Linked DNA regions of Macaca mulatta. The protein of the gene in region 3 interacts with the protein of the main gene of each other region in a biochemical or structural test. Links are inferred from orthologs where the notes say so. Each region holds a gene or a part of one and is shown on either strand. Other genes may lie near its edges.

Evidence for each region.
Region 1: the proteins of SNW1 (region 3) and RBPJ form a complex in vitro, tested with the Homo sapiens proteins (2 studies listed by BioGRID). The link is inferred for Macaca mulatta from reciprocal best matches to the Homo sapiens genes SNW1 and RBPJ.
Region 2: the proteins of SNW1 (region 3) and SKI form a complex in vitro, tested with the Homo sapiens proteins (2 studies listed by BioGRID). The link is inferred for Macaca mulatta from reciprocal best matches to the Homo sapiens genes SNW1 and SKI.
Region 4: the proteins of SNW1 (region 3) and melanoma-associated antigen 1 form a complex in vitro, tested with the Homo sapiens proteins (2 studies listed by BioGRID). The link is inferred for Macaca mulatta from reciprocal best matches to the Homo sapiens genes SNW1 and MAGEA1.

Annotation. Positions count from the first base shown.
Region 1 is NC_133410.1:25,358,664-25,364,725, reverse strand, and holds the start of RBPJ (recombining binding protein suppressor of hairless), read right to left. Parts: upstream 3,754-6,062; 5' UTR 3,640-3,753; coding exon of another isoform or gene 3,620-3,639; intron 1-3,619. UniProt on the Homo sapiens protein: Transcriptional regulator that plays a central role in Notch signaling, a signaling pathway involved in cell-cell communication that regulates a broad spectrum of cell-fate determinations.
Region 2 is NC_133406.1:238,449,975-238,456,016, forward strand, and holds the start of SKI (ski oncogene), read right to left. Parts: upstream 3,754-6,042; 5' UTR 3,490-3,753; coding exon 2,521-3,489; intron 1-2,520. UniProt on the Homo sapiens protein: May play a role in terminal differentiation of skeletal muscle cells but not in the determination of cells to the myogenic lineage. Functions as a repressor of TGF-beta signaling.
Region 3 is NC_133412.1:150,940,255-150,945,189, reverse strand, and holds part of SNW1 (SNW domain-containing protein 1), read left to right. Parts: intron 1-542; coding exon 543-639; intron 640-2,939; coding exon 2,940-3,057; intron 3,058-4,935. UniProt on the Homo sapiens protein: Involved in pre-mRNA splicing as component of the spliceosome. As a component of the minor spliceosome, involved in the splicing of U12-type introns in pre-mRNAs.
Region 4 is NC_133426.1:159,458,790-159,463,964, reverse strand, and holds melanoma-associated antigen 1, read left to right. Parts: upstream 1-2,004; 5' UTR 2,005-2,058; coding exon 2,059-3,009; 3' UTR 3,010-3,722; downstream 3,723-5,175.

The sequences.
Region 1 (6,062 bases), on a different chromosome or scaffold from region 3:
AGCCAGGTGTGATGGTGCACGCTTGTAATCCCAGCTACTCAGGAGGCTGAGGCAGGAGGATCGCTTGAGCCCAAGAGGTGGAGGTTGCAGTGAGCTAAGATTGCGCCACTGAACTCCAGCCTGATGACAGAATGAGACCCTGTCTCAAAAAATAAAATAAAATAAATAAATAAGATATTGCTACATGCAGAAAACAAAAGAGGAAAGCATCCCATAATTTTATGTTATTACATTTGAGTCTGACAGAACTTCAATCTTTCACACCACACACATACACACACACACACACACACACACACACACGACACATCACCCTGTAATTTGTTTTACTTGTCTCTCTCCCTATAAGTTTACGGGGAGCAGGAATAAAGGTATCTGTTTTATTACCCATACTATAATACATATTTGGGATTTTAAAAAATCCCACTATTGCTACTGTGTCTTGCCAATAATTTAAAAACCTATTTGACTTCCTATAAAATATGACCTACTTCACATTAGCTTATTTCAGTAACAATTCATAGACCTTCCCCACAGTTTTCATCCAAGGATGCTCTCTGCGAACCTTAAGGCATAGCAATCCTGTGCAGATGTGGCAAGTTATTATAATTCCCATTTTACTACACAGTTAGGAAACTGGCCCAGGGGAAGTAGAGTAACTTGGAAATAATCACAAAGCCAGATGCCAAAAATAACAACTTTTAGTCAATCCATGAGAAAATACTGCCCCTAGTTGAAATAACATGAAATTTAGTATTAGGAGGAAGCAAAATGCAAAATAATGTTTTAAAGCCAAGTCCTGGATTTTATTTCTAAAAATGAACAGAAGAATGAGATGTGTAAGAACTTAAAAAACAAAACAATTTTTTCCTAATGCCTTACCCATCAAGGGTGCCAAAGGTTATTTAATGAATTACATCTGGCAAGAATGGCCTTTCAACCAAACCAATTTTGATCTTACCCACTTAAAAAAAAAAATTGACAGAAATCCGTTGGTATAGGACAATAGGTAATTTTTTTAACAAATCTAACTGCTTAAAATCTAAAGCCTACAAGTGTTTTGAACAGTACAGATGTGAAAATACTGCAAGTCTCATTTTCTGAAAATATAATCACAGATCCATCAGCAATATGCATGGATAATAAAACTTAAAGTTTTAATAGTTAATACTCAGAATGAAAGTTCTCCAGCCACAACTCATCCAGATTTCGAAATATGCTGCTGTTATAATTTAATTAAAAGCAGTTTTATTTCACCACAAAGTAAAAGTCTTACACGATTTAGAAAGAAAAACGCAACTCAAATGGTAAAAGCGCTTTTATCATGTCTGTGTAATCATTCTACAGGTACAAGTCAGAGCAAAATACCCTCCATTATTACACAGTATTTACACTTTGCTCCCAGTCAGAAAACCAGTGAGCTTAAGATTTTACCTTCAAAAGAATCATTATGTACAAGAACAAGTAAGGGAGACATAAGATTATTGGTAAAACCCACTCATGCGACCCAGACTGCAGATTTTCACAAAAAAAAACTTAAGTATCAATCATGAAACCATGGTTTTCCATTAATTAAAACTCAAACTACTAATTCTAATCACAGCCAGAAAAAAAAAATACTTTCCAATGCTCCAATACTCGTTAGAGTAGATCTCATATGTCCTCTATAAACAACACTTTACTATTGTAGAACTTCAGTTTGTAAATGAAATGACACTCCAAATGATTTTATGTGTAACATACCTTCTAAAAGTAGAGACCAACTAGTAGAAACAAACTCACTCTTGAAGAATACATTCAGCATAGTAATCCTGGTAAATATAATAACTCTTATTCCTAGCACGAGAATAACTCATTAAAAGACATCACACCACACCCCCCATCCCCATTCACACAACCCCAAGCTTTTAGCATTACCAAAACAGTAAGAACACTTCAAGGGTCCTTTAACACTAGGAAGTGTCTTTAAAATAATCTCACTACAGGCTATTACATATATATAATATACATCTTTACGTATACTTTTTACTGCATTTGATTAATATCTTCCACAAAGATCCTAGAAGCAGTATTCATCAATCAGAAACTGCACTCTTCGGTGCTGTCCTCATTTCAACCCCAGTGATGGGACAGAAGGGTTGTCACGCATCCACAGAGCAGCAAAAACGCACATAACTGTAAACCATCTAATGATTAAGAAAAAGTAAAACATTTATATAAAATTCCCAACCGGAATGCCTCTCCTTTTCCTTATGAGGCAGGAGTTTCTGATAAATTCTAAATCCAGATTTCTAGAAAATGCTGAAATTCTCCGCCCCAACACTCACAAGTTTTCAACATGGAAATTCACTCAACTCCTACTCACATGCCAAATGAATATCCATTGTGGATATCTGAAACTATTCTCAAACACTAACAGAAAAACACATATATACATCTTGAGCCTCCTTCTAACCGTCCTACGATACCCTCCAATCATCCTCAGGCAACCTAAATGCAAAGCTTCGACAGACAGCTGCCCTTGGCCTAGGCCGTCAGGAACCAGGAGGGGGGCGGGGGCCGGGGGCCGGGGGACGCAAGAACCACCAAGAGACCAGACCTTTTTCCAGGGCTACTGTTTCCAAGCAAAACAACCCACCGCACTAAAGAGACGGCGATGAAAATTGGAGACGCTTTAATCCCGAAAGAAAGGGGTGGCGATGGGGGGGCGGGGGGTGCAAGAAATCCCGAGAAAAAGGGGTGCGGAGGAGGAAACTAAGTATCCCATGCATCTTTCAGACTCACAAAACAACAACAAACCGTAGAGTCTGTGTGCACTTAGAAGCAGCAGATGGAGTCTCCGGGGCTGAGACAGTTCAGCAGACGTACACCGGGGGTAGTGGATAAATCAACCGATGACGGGAGAGGAAGGGGGTGCCGAGAGAATAAGCCCATGGATGGGGGAGACAACGCCTCGGGGGGGGGGGATCCAGGACCGCAGAGAAAGGTGAGAGAGGACCCACAGGAGAAAGACAATGGAAGAACAATTAAGACAGGAATCTGGTGCCCGGGCTGTGGCAGGTCACTGGGCTACCGACAAGAGTGGGGCACAACAAAGGGGCACGGGAGGAAGGACAGCGGAGGGGAGGAGATGGAAAGAGGATGCGGGGCGCCACGGGTCGGACAAAGCGCCCAAGGCGGCGAAACAAAGGGCCGGGGGTAGAGAGTCGCGGGGGGCAGCGGGGAAAGACAAAGCGCCCGGGGCCGGGGGCACTAGCGGGGCGAGGCGGCGACAACGGCCGCGAGGAACAAAGCTGCACGGGGCCCCCAGGCAGGGCCCGCTGGAGGCGCGCGGGAGGCACGGCGCCCGAGGGCCCCGCGCGCCCGGCCGCACTCACGCCCGCACCCGCCGGCCTCGCCGCCGCCTCCCGCCCTCACGCGCCGGAGCCCGAGCCACGGCAGCGCAGAGGCAGCGCACGGTCACACGCCGCAGCCGCCGCCGCGCTCGGCGCACGCGACGCCGCCCCCGCGGGCCCCCGGACGCCAAGCGCGCTGCGGCCCCCGAATCCGCCGCTCGCCGCGGGCTGCCAGACGCCCGCAACTTTCCCGGTTCCCAGCGCTCCGATTCCCTCGGACTTACCCTGTCACAACAGGCGCCATCTTCCACAAACTCTCGCCAAAACTCCAACCCTCGCGAGATTCCCCCCGACGCCTTCCCTGGTCCCTCTCCCCCGCCCCTTCCCTTTTTCCTCACTCCTCGATTCCACCCAGCCCCCGCGCTCCCTTTCCCCTCGCCGCCGCCGCGAAGAGCCAGACGCCTCGCGCCGCCCGCAGAGTAGGGGATCCTGCTCGCTGCCTCCCTTGGAAACCTACCCAAGCGATGGAGCATGCGCAGGCGGCTCCTCCGCGGGCGAGCCCTCCGTGTGGTCCATGGGGAGCGCTCCGGTTATCCAGGTTTTGGGACGCGCCTTGAGGGACGTACGTGGAGACTGAGGAAAACCGGAGGGGATTACTACGGGGACGGGGAATGGAGGGGTCAGGAGGCGGGGCCGAGGAGAAGGGAGGAGGGGTCCTGGGAAAATGGGCCGCGTTTCACAGGCCTAGATGAAACACCTCCTCAATGGGTGTTTTCCAAGCGGCTTCCCGCTCACTCTGGGTTCCCAGCTCCTTTCATTCATTCAGACGTTCCCTGGGCGCCTCCTTTATGCTAATTTCGGCGTTAGGTGCAGGAGCGTCAGAGGTGCCTGGGGTTCGGGCAAGTGACACGTCGGGAACTGTCTTCATTCATTACACCCCCATGCTAATGAGGAGGCCCTTCCAGAGCTCCGCAAACGGAAAACTTTTGCAGTTGAGCTCTCTCGGCTTAGCGTTCTCCTTAGGTGTGAAATGAGGTCAAGTCAAGGCCTCTGGGAAAGACACCCCTAATGGCCACCTCGCAGACACACGCCAGGGTGCGGAGTAGTTCTCTCCAGAAGGGAAAACTGCCTTGGAATTGAGAGCCACATTCTCCCACCTCCGAGTCGGGCCAGAGGCCCTGATCAAAGCTCTTGCAGCTCGCGTGCCACATGGCCTCTCTAAGACCCCATCGCAGCCGCCACCGTGTGTGAGCCCAGGTGTGTGTTGAGGCCACTACTGCACAGGGAACCGGGCCACCCGAGGGCCTGGCACAGCCGAAGACGCTGCCGGCTGCCCGAATCGCGCTTCAGGCGGCCTGATGCCGGAAGCCCCCGGGCGAACCTGGCCCCGCCGGGCATTGAACAGCAAGGTGCAGAGCCCGAACCCCGCCCCCTCCTCCTACCTGCAGCCCCCCATTTTTCCCCTCCTTTGCCCTTTCCTTTCCTAGAGATTCCCAATCCAGCACTGCCTCCCGCAGGGAGCCCCAAAACCCGGAGAACTGGAATTCGCCGCCCGAAACCTGCTGAAGGCGCTGCAGGATTGGCGCGGCCCGCGCGAGCGGCACTGCGCATGCACCCAATGCGGGCAGTCGCGTCTCACGCTACACCTCCTTCCCACCGCCTTCCACTACTCGGCTCAGACACAACACGGCCGTGGGAAATTTCCTAAACCTCGCGAGAACGTGCCCCCTGTTGCCTAGGCTTTCGCTCCAAATCTCGCGAAGCCAAGGGAGGACAGGTGTTTGTTTAGAGCAGGTCCGGGCGCCGTTCGTGCCGCGCGTGCCCGGGAGGCGGGCGGCGGGCGGCGGGCGCGGGCGGGGTGGGAAGGGAGCGGCTCGCCGCGGAGGCGGGGCGGGAAGGCGCGTGGCGGGGAGCACGGGGCAGAGGGCGGCGGGGAAGGAGACGCGACGTCTCGCACACACGCACACGCCCTGTGACGCTGGGTGGAAGACGAGGGGTGGGGAGCCTCGAAGGGAAGAAGGGGAAGCCAGGAGGTTGGAAGTGGCTCCCAGTGCGGAGAGTGAGAGGTCAGGCTCTAGGGCAGGAGGAGCCCCAGGCCGATCTCCCGGGGAGGTTTCCTGTCGCCCTCCACAAGCCTGGTACTTTCCTAAAATGTGTTAGACGCCGCGCCCCCCGCCTCCGGGAGCTGAGAGACAGCCCCCAGAGTCGGGTTTGAGTCATGCCTTGAGTCACCTAGTCTGGCCACCACTTCGCTTATTTTGAAACAAGTTCTGATTCCTTAGCTACTCTACTTTAGCAATTAGTTGTTTTCTTTCTAATCTACCCGCTGGCCCTGTGAGCTGGTTAGAAAAATAAATAAATAAACAGCTCTGCGCTCTTGCATTGTTGCCTTGTATAGATTCTTGCTCCCGTTTAAGGACACGGTTCTTAAAATTTCTTCTCAGTCTCTTCTTAACCTTTTGAAGTAATCTAACAAATCAGTTTCTGTTCTGTTTTTTCCTCCCACTAATATGGCTTTTTTGCTTTCCTTCACCTTTCCGTATTTTTGTTGCAATATCCCATTTTACGTATTGCTGCGGCAGGTGCTATAGTAACTGCTGTTTTAAATGCATCCCTTCCTTTTGGATCATTTATCCAGTGAGTTCCTGATTACATTCTTCAATTAGCCACATTTCAGATTGGCCCTGATGTAGTTTCTGTACTAGCCTTAGCCCGGCATTATCTAGG
Region 2 (6,042 bases), on a different chromosome or scaffold from region 3:
CAGTACACTCTTTGTTCCTTCAGCCCTCATCTTCGGCAGATCAAAAATATTAAAATAAGCTACAAAGGAAGTGAAGAAATCAAAACATATCCTGAGAATAAGCTGTCAAGACATGGGTGGGAGGAGCCAACGGCAGCCAGCGAGGGTGGAGGCGGGGCCTCCCAGGCCACTCCTTCTAGGAGAAGTGGGGTCTGGGCACTGCGGGTCCACGCCCACCCTGAGACCACACTCCCTTCTCATGTGTTGCCCCCGTGCACAGAGACACGCACATGGCTGTCCTAGGGAGACTTAAGGGGATCCTGCAGCCCAGAACTCCCAACCACACAGTCACAGAGCCTGGGGGCACGCACTGAGCGAGGGCAGAGTCCCTGGCTGCCACCCCACGTCAAGAACACAGAGCAGGAGACGACACGGGCAGGATGGGTGCCCACCCCCAGGAGCATGAGGAGAGGAAAGCCCGCAGGAGCTGGTGAACATGCAGGGAGCCAGGCGGAGGCCACCACTGCCAGGGCCAGGCTGTGGCTGCCACTCAGGCCTGGAGGACCCAGTCACTCACACCGTAAACGTCGTCAGTATGGCTTGGGAATTCCTTTTTAATCAATAGATGAGATTTCAGAGCTGTGCTAGGGAGGACTTCAAAAGGGAAAGGCAACTTGGAGCCATCCGCTGAGATGACCAGGGGGAAAGCTTGTCTGGCCCGTCTCCATGGCGGCCCAAGGACCCCGGCGCTCACAACCGCCGGGAGGGAGAAGCCGGTGGCCTGGGCCCTGCTCTGTGTCAGCTGTGACGAAGAGGCCCTGCTGGCCACTCCAATGGCCCCCCAACAAAACCCAGGAAGACAGAAAGACTGCAAGCACATACATGACCCACAGTCGGACAAAAACAAACGCAGACACACCCTGCTCAGCCGAGATCCTCTGCCGTCAGCTCTGGAGACAGTGATGAGTGTGTCCCAGCAGCTCAGGCCTTGGCCACAGGTGACCCACTATGCAGCCTGCCCGAGCCCACCAACCACCCCAGCGACACGTGGCTTCCCCCAGCCATAGGCACTGACGAGGGTGCGGCCACCCCAAAAAGAAAGACCCCAGCCCACAGGGAGCGCCATCGGACCCACCCCAGCCAACTCCCCATGTGACATGAAGGGTCCCAGCCTGTGAGGTCTGTCTGCAGCTCTGCCACGAGCATCCGTCCCCAGCCCACAGGTCTGCAGGCAGCTGCCACCTGAGCCCTGGCCTGGCAGGGTCAGAAGCACCCCTGCACACACACACGCACACACACAGGCACACGCACATGCACCCTCCGCAGCCCCCTCCACGCAGAGGCGACAGTCCCTCGCTTCCATCCACAGCCCCTCCTCCCCACGATCTGACACTCTGCTGGAGGGGCGCCCAGAGAAAACCGGGCTGGAGCATCTATTCACAGATTCAGAAAAAAAAAGTTTGATGCAATAGCTGAATTAATTAGGCCTCCCAAGAATAGCTGAGCCAATGCAGCATTCTGTGTGTGCAATTTAATAAGCCTGGATATTTAAAAGAAAAGTTACACATACTTGGGGAGGTATGCAACGGAAAGTTCCTGAGGACCCCACTGAGTAATTTCGGCGCCTCGTGGCCTGGGAGCTGCCCATGCCGGATCCCGTAGATCCTCCAACTGGCAAACTACAAAGCCAGGCCAGCGGCCTCCCTCCCCGGCGCACCCCTCTGCGTTTCAGAAGGAGAGAAGGAAATGGGTGAGTCCAAATCCCAAGCCGCCAGTAACTCCAGCATGTGGGCCCAGGGGCCTGCTGACCAGGCCCTCAGCCGGGTGCCAAGTGGCCCTCACCCCACACGGGGCACTCTGGGATTTGGTCCCTGGCAGGCCCAGGGAGACCAACCAGCACAGTGCTGGAGCCGCCCAGTCTCAGGCCCCTGTCGCTGCAGCCTGAACACCTGGCTTCATTTTGTGTCTCTGTCCCAAAACTTCAAGGCAACAAACATGGACCGGGAGCCAGTAACAAAACCAGGCCTCGTCTCGCCCAAGCTCTGTCTCCTGGGGCCCAAGGGCAGGCAGCCCTCCGTCTTCGAGGCTGGGTGCCTTCGGGGTGAGGGCAGTCACCTCCACCCCAACCCCAAGGAAGACCTGGGCCTGAGGCATCCGGCTGGGGCCCAACTGGAGCTAACTTCCCTGACCTCGGAGCAGGCCGCTTTCCCGGGAGCATAGGAGGCCTGTGCCTTCCTATCCTATCTGGGCAAAGGCTATGGGCCTGTGGGCCTTCCCCACACACCAGGCCTAGCCCCCACCCCACCGACACAGCCCCCACTCCAGGCTCCTCCTGGGGGAAAGGGCAGGAGGGCCTTCCTACTAAACCCTCTGGCCCTGCCAAGGGGAACACTCTGAATTTCCCTAAAACAAAGCAAAGACTTGACACATGGGGCACGGCAGAAACACAGGTCCCAGCCTTTGGAGACCAGAGCCTGTGGCCCAGAAGGGTCCCCCACCGCAAGCACATCCACCCCTGCTCCCAGGCCTGGGGCCACTCACCCGGGGCACCCGCCGCTTGTACTTGTTGCCGTAGTCGAACTTCTCCTTCACGTCGTCCAGGCAGCGACCGAGGCGCGCCTGCTCCTCCTTGCCCGTGTAGTCCTGGCTCAGCAGGATGTAGGCCCGCCAGTTGGCCGAGTCGAAGCCCCAGTGGCAGGTCCGGTTCTCCAGGGCCTTGTGCGAGTGCACCACGAACTTGTGCGGCGGGTACATGAGGCGGCAGTCCAGGCACTGGATGCAGGCGGCGCTCGGGCTGCTGTAGAGCTCCGGCACCAGCAGCCCCTTACACTTGCCGAAGCACTCGTGGTACACGCGGACGCTGCGCTCGCTGAGCTCCAGGCCCAGCGCCAGGCTGGCGGCCAGCTCCTTCTTGCAGGGCGGCGGGTAGGCGCCGCCGTAGAGCAGCGCGTTGCACAGGCGCTCGGCGTCCGTCTTGGTGATGAGCCCGCACGAGGGCGCCGAGAAGGGCAGGATGCCCATGACTTTGAGGATCTCCAGCTGGTCGGCCGTGCAGCGCGAGCAGTAGATGTGGAGCTCGTCGCACACCGAGTTGATCTGCTGCAGCGAGAAGTCGCGCAGCACCGAGTTGAGGATCTGCGGCAGACACAGACGCTTCTCGCCTCCCACCACGAAGCACGAGATGGTCTCGCCTTCTAGCACGGTCTCGCAGCGCTCAGTGGAGCGATCGGACGGCATGAAGAAGGGACCGGGCAGCACGGGCGGCGGCGGCTGGATGGCGGGCAGGTGCAGCACGGGCGGCGGCTCGGTGGCTGCGGGCACCGGCGCCGGCACCGCGGCCGCGCCCGCCTCCTTGGCGCTCTCCTTCTTGTAGGCCTCCTGCGCCCAGCGCGCCGAGAAGGCGGCCGGGCCGCCCAGCGAGCTCATAGAGCTCAGGTGGAACTGCTCCAGCGTCTTCTGCAGCCCCGGGTGCGGCTGGAAGCAGCCGCGGCCGCCTGCCGCCGCCTCCATGGTGCGCTCCGTCTCCCCCGGCCGCTCCCGCTCCCGCGCGCCCGGGCCCCCCCGGCCCCCGCCGCCGCCCCGCGCGCCCCGGCGGCGCCCGCGGCCCCGACCCCGGCCGCCCCCCGCCGCCGGCTCACGGCCGATCACGGCCGCGGCCTCGCCCGGGGGCGCGAAGGGGAAGGCGGGCGGGGCGAAGGGGTCCCGCCGCTGGAGCCCGCCGCCGCCCGGGCCCGGCGCCACATCCACGCGCCCCGCGCCGCGCCCGCCGCCGCCCGGGCCCCCCGCGCGTCCCCCGCGCGCCCCCCGGGCTCTAGGCGCGGGGCATGCCCCGGCGCGCGCCGCCAACGCCAACGCCAACGCTCGCGGGCCCGGGGCTCGCGGGGGGCGCGCGGGCAGGTGCCGGCGCCGCGAGGCGCGAATCGCCGCGGCGGCCGAGGCCGAGGGGCCCGGGAGGAGCGGGGGCGCGGGCGCGGGGCCCGCCGGGCCGTCCTCGCGCGGCGCGCCGCCGCCGCCCCGCTCCTCCCACCGCGCGGCGCCCGCCCGGCTCGTCCCGGCGGCGCTGGCCGGCCGCGTCGCGCCCGCCGCCGGCCCCCGGCCCGCCCGCCCGCCGGCTCCGCGGCCCGCCCGCCCGGCTTCCGGGGCGGCGGAGGCGCCTCTCGCCCGCGGCCCTCAGAGCGCGGCGGCGGCGCGGGGCTCGGGGCGCTCGGCGCACATCCTCCCGGCGGCTCGCTCCGGCTCGGACTGAGCGCCCGGCGCTGAGCTCACGCCGCCGCCGCGCCGCCCCGCCCCGCGCCGCCTGCTCCGCCCCGCGCCGGCCCCGCCCCCCGCGCTGTTTGTTGCCGTGCGTCCGCCTCAGCCCGAGCGCTGGCCAAGAATGTGACCCGCTCCCCAGTCGGGCTCTTCCAGGAACGCGCGCTCCCCGCCCGGACTCGGCCGCGCTCGGCTCCGCTCGCCCGGGACTCGGCCACGCTCGGACCCGCCCTGCCACGACTCGGCTACTCTCGGCCAGGACTCGGCTCCGCTCGGCCATGCTCGACTCCGCTCGGCCCCGCTCGGCCCCGCCCGTCGAAGGCCGCTCGGCGCGGGCGGAGGCGGAGGCGGCGGTGGCGCCCGGGGCCCCCCTTCCGGCCGAGGCCGCTTCCTGCGCGGCTGGGAAGGCGCCCGTCTCGCCGCCGCCGGGGCCCAGAAACCCACAGGCCCCCGCCACGACCGCAAACCAGCTGGGGGAGGCCGGGGGGCCACGCCACGCAGCCGGGGTTCTCCCAGGGTGGGACGCCACACAGCGGGGAGGCCCCGGACGCCTCTGGGGTCCCACACACTACCGGGACGCCACACGGTGACCTGGGGGTCACCACACACGAGGGGGACAGCGGCCACGCCCAGGGACCCCGCGCCGAGACAGGCGCCGCGCCGCGTGACCCTGGCGGCGCAGCCCAGCGGCCCCCGCTGCCCCGTGGCCCGGTGGCCGAGTGTCCGCGGCTCCCGCCCGCGCCAGCCCCGCCCCGCCCGACGGCCCCGGGCGGACTGTCCCTGATGCGCGGGCCAGGGGTTTCGGGCCTGAGAGGGGCGGCGTCGGGTGCCCCCGACGCGGCCGGTTTGCCAGCCACCCCGGCCAGGTGGCTTATCAGAATTTCGGTCCCGCGGGTCCCGGCGGGCAGGCCGGCGAGACCCTTGCCCTCCGCCCCAGGGCCTCGGAGCGCTGAGACGGCTTTCGGGGCCAGGTCGGCCCTCCACGCCTGGCCACGCAGTGGGAGAGACCCAAGCCATGGCAGGGCGGGAAGCGGGAAGCCCGGGGCCCCGAAGTTGGACAGTCGGCCAGGTGGTCTCCAGGGGAGGCAGCGTCCAGCGAGGCGTGCGGGCGCGGGGACGCAATGGTCGCGGGGCTGAGGGCTCGGACTGTGCTCACCTGAGGTGGAGAGACATTCCCGACGGGCCAGGGGTGCCCAAGCTGGCCTGGGTACTGCAATGTGAGTGACCTTTAGCTGGGACCTCCTGCCCCTCACTTCCCCAGTGGAGGCTGGAACCAGCCTCAAACCAGCACGCCTGGGCGCAGTTCCTACCCTGGGGGAGCCGGCCCAGCGCCCCTGTGCAGGTCTTGGCCCGACCTGCGGCAGGGCAGGTGTCTGGAGAGGGAGCCAGGACCTACCAGCAGGTGACCCCCAGCAGGTGACCCCAGGGCAGCTCCATACTCCCTCTCTCCGCTGCCTTGGGGTTTGTCTCCTTGTCATCACACTCCACGCTGTCCCCCGACTCTTCCCATTGACTCTGTTGGCCCCCACAATTGGAGGCCAGGCCTCTCTGTGCGTTCACACATCAGAAAGCTGGGTAAGAAGATCATTTCCTTAAAAGGGATATTTAACCCGGCAGGGTGGCTCACGCCTGTAATCCCACCACTTTGGGAGGATGAGGCAGGCTCATTGCTTGAGCCCAGGGGTTCAAGACTAACCTGGGAAATATAGTGAGACCCCGTCTACCAAAAAAATATATATTTTTTTTAATTAGCCGGGCATGGTGGCCTGCACCTGTGGTCTCAGCTACTTGGGAAGCTGAGGTGGGAAGATT
Region 3 (4,935 bases):
AAATTAGCTGGGCGTGGTGGCGCATGCCTGTAATCCCAGCTACTTGGGAGGCTGAGGCAGGAGAATCACTTGAACCCGGGAGGCAGAGGTTGCAGTGAGCTGAGACCGCACCATTGCGCTCCAGCCTGCGCAACAAGAGCGAAAGTCCGTCTCAAAAAGAAAAAAAAAATTAATGGGGCTGAGTGCAGTGGCTCACACCTGTGACTCCAGCACTTTGGGAGGCCTAGGTGGGAAGTTCACTAGAGCCTGGAGTTTGAGACCAGCATCGACAACATAGAGGGACCTCATCTTTACAAAACATTAAAAAATTAGCCAGGCATGGTGGCACACACCTGTGGTCCCAGGTACTTGGGAGGATGAGGCAGGAGGATCACTTGAATCCAGGAGGTAGAAGCTGCAGTGAACCATGTTCATGCTACTGCACTCCAGCCTGGGTGACAGAGTGAGACCCTGTCTCTTTTTAAAAAATTATATACACACGTACACATATGCACACATATAATAGATATTACAGTGAAGTACTTTTCAACTGTTCACAACAGAGGATGGGGAGGCACGTGAGAGGGATGAAATCCGGCATGACAGGCGAAAAGAGAGACAGCATGACCGGAATCTTTCCAGGGCAGCTCCTGATAAGAGGTAGGTGTTATTTAAGATACGTACCAATCATGGAGGCTGGGCGCGGTGGCTCACCCCTGTAATCCCAGCACTTTGGGAGGCCAATGTGGGCAGGAGATCGAGACCATCCTGGCTAACATGGTGAAACCCCATGTCTACTAAAAGTACAAAAAATTAGCCGGGCGTGGTCATGGTGGGCGTCTAGTCCCAGCTGCTCGGGAGACTGAGGCAGAAGAATGGTGTGAACCTGGGAGGCGGAGCTTGCAGTGAGCTGAGATGGCGCCACTGCACTCCAGCCTGGGCAGAGTGAGACTCCGTCTCACACAAAAAAAGATAGGTACCAATCATGAAGAGTGGCCTTTTTGTACCTTTTAGAGCAGAGTTTTTAGTCCACTAAGATCAGTTTTGCTTCTCTCCCTTTCTTCTTCAGTTTGATAACTTAATACATTAGCACTTAATTTTCTTATACTTAACTTTGTCTTAGCTCTAGTTGACTGTCTTTGGAATTAATCTTTTCTTCCATCACTTAAGTCAGAATTGAGAATGATGGGAATATGGAAAACAGAATTGAGATCAGATTTTTGAAAAGGATGTAGTAGTAAATTTGGACTGTTATAGTCGGTTCTTTTCCTACCTTAAATGGTGAGACAAATGGATTATGTGCCTCTTTAGACAGGAAATAAGCTGTCATGCTTTTACTGAGATCATTTTATATGCATAGTACTTTATATGCATCTAGTGCAATTGAGAAGAGCAGTTTTGAAAGAAGTGAAAATCAGCTCATTCTTAACAGAAGTTTAACTTACAGTTCAGAAAGACAGAGCTATCCATAAAATAATTTGAGAAAATTTGCAAAGCACTTTTAGTAAATATAAATGTATGGAACAAACTAAATACATATACAAGGGCATAAAGTATGGATTGGGGAAGTTTATGGCTCACCAAAGGCTGAGGACTTAAAGTTCTGAAAAGTAGAGGAAATGCTGCAATACAAAGGTAGAATTCTGAGTGAGGGTTAAATGCAAATATAAAATATTTTCTTCCCAAAGGAACAGTTTTCTATGCTCTGATCATCCCATGAGCCTAATACATTTTTCAAGTCATATTTTAAACACAAAAAAGAGGCTGGGCACGGTGGCTCACACCTATAATCCCAGCACTTTGGCAAGCCAAGGCGGGCGAATCACTTGAGGTCAGGAGTTCATCCAGCCTGGCCAACATGGTGAAACCCCCATCTCTACTAAAAATACAAAAATTAGCTGGGTGTGGTGGCATGTGCCTGTAGTCCCAGCTACTCGAGAGGCTGAAGTGGGAGAATCATTTGAACCCTGGAGGCAGAGGATTCAGTGAGCCAAGATCGTGCCACTATACTCCAGCCTGGGTGAGAGCGAGACTGTATCTCAAAAATAAAAATAAATAGGCATTAAAAAGATTCCTGCTGGTGTTAATTGGCATATTTCATCTCCCTGGATAAATGACGTCATAGAGAAGCAGAGACTCTTACTCTTGAGTTGAGGGTAACGTACATGTAGAAGGAGGAGCAAAGTGTGAAAGTGTTTAATTAATGACAGTCTTGGTTAGTAATTCCTAAGTTGTAAAAGTTACAATGGCTCTGTGGATAAATTGGGCCCTCAAAACCAGTAAAGTGGCCATCAGAATTGACAACATAGAAAAGCTGTAAAATTGTAACTGGATGAAAATCAAATAGCCTGTAGAAATCATTTTGTGACCTGAGTTTTTAGTAAAATAAGTAATGACAGTTACCATGGTTTCATTGGGATATAGATTGCATGTATAATGAAACAGCCAGGAAACCAAATTAATTTGAATGTCAAAAATCATACTAACTATTTCAGTCATTGACATGTTTTCCTCAAAATTCTAGTGGGATAAAATTATTAAATGTAGTTAGATAAAAGAGCTGTTTCTAGCTTATTTAAAATGATTCCTGTGCTACATCTAAATTGTATCCACTTCCCCAACCCCCAAACCATCATATGATAGTAAATATAGACCATAGCAATTTTATATCTCAGTATGGTTGTAAGGTGATTGCTTATATTAAAGAATTCCATGTCAACGAATCTGTTAGATGTTCTTTTGAGCTAACAGGATGTCCTAATTGTAAAACTCTTCCCTCTAATCTGAAATGCTTTATAAGGGCTGCCAACTTGATTATGTATTATCAAGGAATATACGTTCTCAAGATGTGAATGTGACATATTCATGTCCTTTGCTTCTGAGATTGGTTGTATTTCTATTGAACATACTCAGTTTGTCTATAAAGAGTTTTCAGTTAGTGATGTCGTATTTCAAAATAGGTCGAAACTTCAGAGAAATGAAAATCGGGATATCAGTGAAGTCATTGCTCTCGGTGTTCCTAATCCTCGGACTTCCAATGAAGTTCAGTATGACCAAAGGCTCTTCAACCAATCCAAGGTACAAGTTTAGGAAAGCATATTGTTGTGTTGATGTGAATACCTATCCTCAGGGAAACGAAAATTACCATACTTCATATTTGGATGTAAATGCCAGCATGATGACAAAAAAATTGGAAGTTGTATGTTGAAACTTGAGACAAGAAAGATGAAACAGTTCTGATTTTAACTTCTTACAGTGGACTGAAATTTGAGACACTAGGAGAAGAAAGAAATTAGCTGATTAAAAACTTGGTGCTGTACTCGGGAGGCTGAGGCAGGAGAATGGCGTGAACCCGGGGGGCGGAGCTTGCAGTGAGCCGAGATTGAGCCACTGCACTCCAGCCTGGGCGACAGAGCGAGACTCTCTGTCTCAAAAAAAAAAAAAAAAAAAAAAAAAACAACTTGGTGCTGTGGTATGTCAATCTTTTGTTTTTAAAATAGAACCAGGGAGGACAGGCACGGTGGCTTTTGCCTATAATCCCAACACATTTGGAGGCCGGCAGATCACCTGAGGTCAGGAGTTTGAGACCAGCCTGGCCAATGTGGTGAAACCCCAGCTCTACTAAAAATACGAAAATTAGCCAGGTGTGGTGGTGCATGCCTGTAATCCTCACTACTTGGGAGGCTGAGGCACGAGAATTGCTTCAGCTTGTGGTGAGCCAAGATTGTGCCACTGTACTCTAGCCTGGGTGACTGAGACTCTATCTCAAAAAAATAAAATAGAGCCAGTGTCCTACAAAAGTTCCTCTTGGGTTTTTTGTTGTTCATTTTTGGGTTTTTTTTTTTTTTTTAATGCTATAGAAATATGTCAATTTGGGAATCTTTTAAAAATGAAGCTGTAAAACTGGATTAAAGTACTAGGCTGGCTGTCAGGAAATCTGATTTCTAGTACCAATTGCCATTAGCTAACTAGGACACTTTAAGCCTGGGAAAACACAAGGCGGGTGCGTGCACACACACACACACACACACACACACACACGGTAAGAATACAAAGGTGTAAGTTCTACTGGAAAGTGGAGTGGGAAACTTTATGACTTGGAGGTTTTAAGTAAGCTCTTCTAAGTGATAATTTATTAGGTGCATTTTATATTCTTGGCATTGTTCTAAATCTTGTTATTATCTCAATTCTTACAAAAATCCTTTGAAATAATACTATTCTCTCATGTTATAGATGAGGAAATTGAAACACAGGTTTACCTTGTGACTGATGGAATTAAGATTCAAGTCTTGATCTCAAAGCTTTATTATTACTATTTTTTTTTGAGATGGAGTCTCACTGTCACCCAGGCTGGAGTACTGTGGCGCCATCTTGGTTCACTGCAACCTCCACCTCCCAGGTTCAAGGGATTCTCCTGCCTCAGCCTCCTGAGTTGCTGGGATTATCACAGGCACATGCCACCACGCCCGGCTATCTTTAGTAGAGACAGGGTTTCATCATGTTGGGTCAGGCTGGTCTCAAACTCCTGATCTTGTGATCCTCCCGCCTTGGCCTCCCGACGTGCTGGGATTACAGGCGTGGGCCACTGCGCCCAGCGCATTTCAAAGCTTTCTTAACCACTATACAAAGGCAGCTTACCAGCTGAGCAAAGGGATCTAGGGGTGAAATTTCACGTAAGTAAAATATTTTCAAGATAATCACCTGTTAGAAGCTTAAGCTTAAAACATTTAAAAATTGTGATGAAAATATTTCTGGCTGGGCACTGTGGCTCACACCTGTAATCCTAGCACTTTGTGAGACCTAGGCAGGCAGATTGCTTGAACCCAGTTTAAGACCAGCCTGGGCAATATGGCAAAACCCTGTGTACAAAAAATTAGCTGGACATGTTGGCACACACCTGTACTCCTAGCTACTTGGGAGGCTGAGGTGGGAGGAACACTTGAGCACAGGGAGGTT
Region 4 (5,175 bases), on a different chromosome or scaffold from region 3:
TGAGAGGGAACTGAGGGTTTCCCACCCACACCTGTCTCCTCATCTGCACCGCCACCCCACTCACATTCCCATACCCACCCCCCAACCCCAACCTCATCTTGGCAGAATCCCTGCAGTCAACCCACGGAAGCCCCGGGAATGGCGACTAGGCATTCGATCTTGATGTCTCCATCCGAAGCTGATGGAGGGAAGGGGCTTGAACAGGGCCTCAGGGGAGCAGAGGAAGGACCCTACCGGGAGATGAGGGAGGCCTCAGGGGACCCAGCACCCCAGGACACCGCAACCCTGTCTGAGACTGAGGCTGCCACTTTTGGCCTCAAGAATCAGAATGATGGGGACTTATATTAGCATAGGGGTGGGACCCAGCCCTGCCAGGATCACAAGGAGGAAGAGGAGGGAAGACTCAGGGGACCTTGGAATCCAGATCAGTGTGGACCTCTGCCCTGAGAGGTCCAGGGCACGGTGGCCACATATGGCCCTTATTTCCTGCATCTTTTGAGGTGACAGGACACAGCTGTGGTCTGAGAAGTGGGGCCTCAGGTCAACAGAGGAAGGAGTTCCAGGATCCATACAACCCAAGATGTGCCCCCTTCACAAGGACTGGGGATATCCCTGGCTCCACAGAGTATGGCTGTTTCTTTTTTGTAGCTCTAGGGGGACCAGATCAGGGATGGCCGTATGTTCTAGTCTCACTTGTACCACAGGCAGGAAGTTGGGGAGCCCGCAAGGAGATGGGGTCTTGGGGTAAAGGGGGGATGTCTACCCATCTCAGGGAATTGGGGGTTGAGGAAGCACAGGCTTTGGCAGGAATAAAGATGAGTGAGCCAGACAAGGCTATTGGAATCCTCACCCCAGAACCAAAGGGGTCAGCCCTGGACACTTCACCCAGGGTGTGGCATCTTCTTACTCCTGTTTCCAGATCTCAGAGAGGTGAGGACCTTGTTCTCAGAGGGTGACTCGGGTCAACATAGGGACCCCCATCTGGTCTAAAGACAGAGCAGTCCTACGATCTGCCATGCATTTGGGTGAGGAACATGAGGGAGGATTGAGGATACCCCAGGGCCAGAACACTGACAGAGACCGCACAGAAATCAGCTCTGCCCCTGCTGTCACCCCAGAGAGCATGGGCTGGGTCATCTGCCAAGGTCCCTCTCTTATCTTGGGATCATTGATGTCAGGGAGGGGGAGGCCTTGATCTGAGAAGGCTTCACTCACGTCAGTAGAGGGAGAGTCCCAGGCCCTGCCAGGAGTCAAGGTGAGGACCAAACAGGCGCCTCACCCAGGACACATTAATTCCAATGAATTTTGATATCTCTTGCTGTCCTTCCCCGAGGACCTAGGCCCGAGTGGCCAGATGTGGGTCCCCTCCTGTCTTTCTGTTCCTTATCATGGATGTGAGCTCTTTATTTGGATTTCTCAGACCAGCAAAAGGGTGGGATCCAGGTCCTGCCAGGAAAAATGCAAGGGCCCTGCGTGAGAACAGAGGGGATCATCCACCGCATGAGAGTGGGGATGTCACAGAGTCCAGCCCACCCTCCTAATAGCACTGAGGGCCCAGGGCTGTGCTTGCAGTCTGCACCCTGAGGGCCCGTGGATTCCTCTTCCAGGAGCTCCAAGAACCAGGCAGTGAGGCCTTGGTTTGAGACAGTGTCCTCAGATCACAGAGCAGAGGACGCACAGGCTGTGCCAGCAGTCAACGTTTGCCCTGAATGCACACCAAGGGCCCCGCCTGCCGCAGGACACATGGAACTCCACAGAGTCTGGCCTCACCTCCCTACCGTCAGTCCTGTAGAATCGACCTCTGCTGGCCGGCTGTACCCTGAGTGCCCTCTCACTTCCTCCTTCAGGTTTTCAGGGGACAGGCCAACCTGGAGGACAGGATTCCCTGGAGGCCACAGAGGAGCACCAAGGAGAAGATCTGTAAGTAGGCCTTTGTTAGAGTCTCCAAGGTTCAGTTCTCAGCTGAGGCCTCTCACACACTCCCTCTCTCTCCAGGCCCGTGGGTCTTCATTGCCCAGCTCCTGTACACTCCTGCCTGCTGCCCTGACCAGAGTCATCATGTCTCTTGAGCAGAGGAGTCTGCACTACAAGCCTGAGGAAGCCCTTGAGGCCCAACAAGAGGCCCTGGGGCTGGTGTGTGTGCAGGCTGCCGCCGCCTCCTCCTCTCCTCTGGTCCTGGGCACCCTGGAGGAGGTGCCTACTGCTGGGTCAACAGATCCCCCCCAGACTCCTCAGGGAGCCTCCGCCTTTCCCACTACCATCAACTTCCCTCGCTGGAGGCAACCCAATGAGAGTTCCAGCAGCCATGAAGAAGAGGGGCCAAGCACCTCGCGTGTCCTGGAGTCCTTGTTCCGAGCAGTACTCACTAAGAAGGTGGCTGATTTGGTTCGTTTTCTGCTCCTCAAGTATCGAGCCAGGGAGCCGGTCACAAAGGCAGAAATGCTGGAGAGAGTCATCAAAAATTACAAGCACTGCTTTCCTGTGATCTTCGGCAAAGCCTCTGAGTCCTTGCAACTGGTCTTTGGCATTGACGTGAAGGAAGCAGACTCCACCGGCCACTCCTATGTCCTTGTCACCTGCCTGGGGCTCTCCTATGACGGCCTGCTGGGTGATAATCAGATCATGCCCAAGACAGGCTTCCTGATAATCATCCTGGTTATGATTGCAATGGAGGGCGGCCGTGCTCCTGAGGAGGAAATCTGGGAAGAGCTGAATGTGATGGAGGTATATGATGGGAGGGAGCACAGTGCCTATGGGGAGCCCAGGAAGCTGCTCACCCAAGATTTGGTGCAGGAAAAGTACCTGGAGTACCGGCAGGTGCCCTACAGTGATCCTGCACGCTATGAGTTCCTGTGGGGTCCAAGGGCCCTCACTGAAACCAGCTATGTGAAAGTCCTTGAGTATGTGATCAAGGTCAGTGCAAGAGTTCGCTTTTTCTTCCCATCCCTGCGTGAAGCAGCTTTGAGACAGGAGGGAGCAGCTTTGAGAGAGGATGAAGAGGGAGTCTGAGCATGAGTTGCAGCCAAGGCCAGTGGGAGGGGGGCTGGGCTAGTGCACCTTCAAGGACCGTGTCCAGCAGCTTTCCCTGCCTCGTGTGATGTGAGGCCCATTCTTCACTCTGTTTGAAGAGAGCAGTCAGCATTCTCAGTAGTAGGTTTCTGTTCTATTGGATGACTTGGAGATTTATCTTTGTTCTCTTTTGGAATTGTTCAAGTGTTCCTTTTAAGGAATGGTTGAATGAACTTCAGCATCCAAGTTTATGAATGACAGTAGTCACACATAGTGCCGTGTATATAGTTGAGTAGTAAGAGTCTTGTGTTTCATTCAGATTGGGAAATCCATTCTATTTTGTGAATTGGGATAATAACAGCAGTGGAATAAGTATTTACTTAGAAATGTGAAAAATGAGCAGTAAAATAGATGAGATAAAGAACTAAAGAAATTAAGAGATAGTCAATTCTTTTTTTTTTTTTTTTTTTTTTTTTTTTTTTTTGAGACGGAGTCTCGCTCTGTCGCCCAGGCTGGAGTGCAGTGGCGCGATCTCGGCTCACTGCAAGCTCCGCCTCCCGGGTTCACGCCATTCTCCTGCCTCAGCCTCCTGAGTAGCTGGGACTACAGGCGCCCACAACCGCGCCCGGCTAATTTTTTGTATTTTTAGTAGAGACGGGGTTTCACCGTGGTCTCGATCTCCTGACCTTGTGATCCGCCCGCCTCGGCCCCCCAAAGTGCTGGGATTGCAGGCGTGAGCCACCGCGCCCGGCCGAGATAGTCAATTCTTGCCTTATACCTCAGTCTATTCTGTAACATTTTAAAAGATATATGCATACCTGGATTTCCTTGGCTGCTTTGAGAATGTAGGAGAAATTAAATCTGAATAAAGAATTCTTCCTGTTCACTGGCTCCTTTCTTCTCCATGCACTGAGCAGCTGCTTTTTGGAAGGCCCTGAGTTAGTAGTGGAGATGCTAAGGTAAGCCAGACTCATGCCTACCCATAGGGTTGTAGAGTCTAAGAGCTGCAGTCACGCAATCAAGGTGGCAAGATGTCCTCTGAAGATGTAGAGGAAAAGTAAGAGAGAGTGAGGGTGTGGGGCTCCAGGTGAGAGTGGTAGAGTGTAAATGTCCTGAGCTGGGGCATTTTGGGCTTTGGGAAACTGCAGTTCCTTCTGCGGGAGCTGATTGTAAGGATCCTGGGTGGATCCAGGGCCAGATTCTCAGACGGTGAGAGAAAAGCCTGAGTTGGAAAGCTGCTCTGAGGAGTTTCTTTTGGACGGTGGATAAACAGAGAGGAGTCTCCACCTAGGCAGGATTGGAAAGTGTTCTGCGCTTTTTTTTTTCCCATTGCTTCTGAACACAGCGCAAGAGCTAGGTGATGGACACCCATCGTCCGAAAGCGTTTCCTGAGAGAGAAGCGTGAATCTCCCCGGAATGGAGATCCAAAAGCCACTGGCCAGGCACTTTTCTACCTGGCTGGGAGGACCAGAGCTGACTCTTAAAAAGGCATTCTAATGAGGTTATCTCACGTGCAATTTGGCCAGTTGTAAGCAAGATTTCGTATGTTGACAAAATGAATGAAAATAGTGGTTTGGATGGAAAGGTATGTGGGAGAGAGTAAAGGAGTTGGTTTTTGACTCAAATTCTACGATCTTTGAGCTGTATCCGCCTAGGGGAAGTCGCACACCCAAATTTTGAAGTACATTCTCTAAGAGGCAATACTTACTGAATTTTAGGAATGAAACTTCCCTTTTTGGTTAGTTATTCCATGTCCTATTAAGTTGTATATTCTCTGATAAGTCCTGGAGAACAACAACAAAATCCCAGAGTGGTAGGGTCTGGGCTCAAATAATATTAGAAATAACAGCCACCTGCTATCCATTAAACTTGTAATTTACTCCAGGCCCTGAACCAGCTGCTTCACTTGCATGCACACACTCCAACAGTCCTAGCGGAAGGGTCTAATCACACCTACTACACAGATGTAGAACCAGAGGCACACAGGGCTTGGGTATTTCCCAGGATCACGTGCCTAGTAAGGGACAGGGCTGGAACCCGATCCCTGATCTGAATTCCTGTAGAGCCCATGCTGTTCCCACTCCTCCCAGCCTGTGGCCCACCTCCTGAGTACTACTTCCTTTCTCTTCTCAACACTGTGCCATATGTCTCTGGTGACAAAAAGAA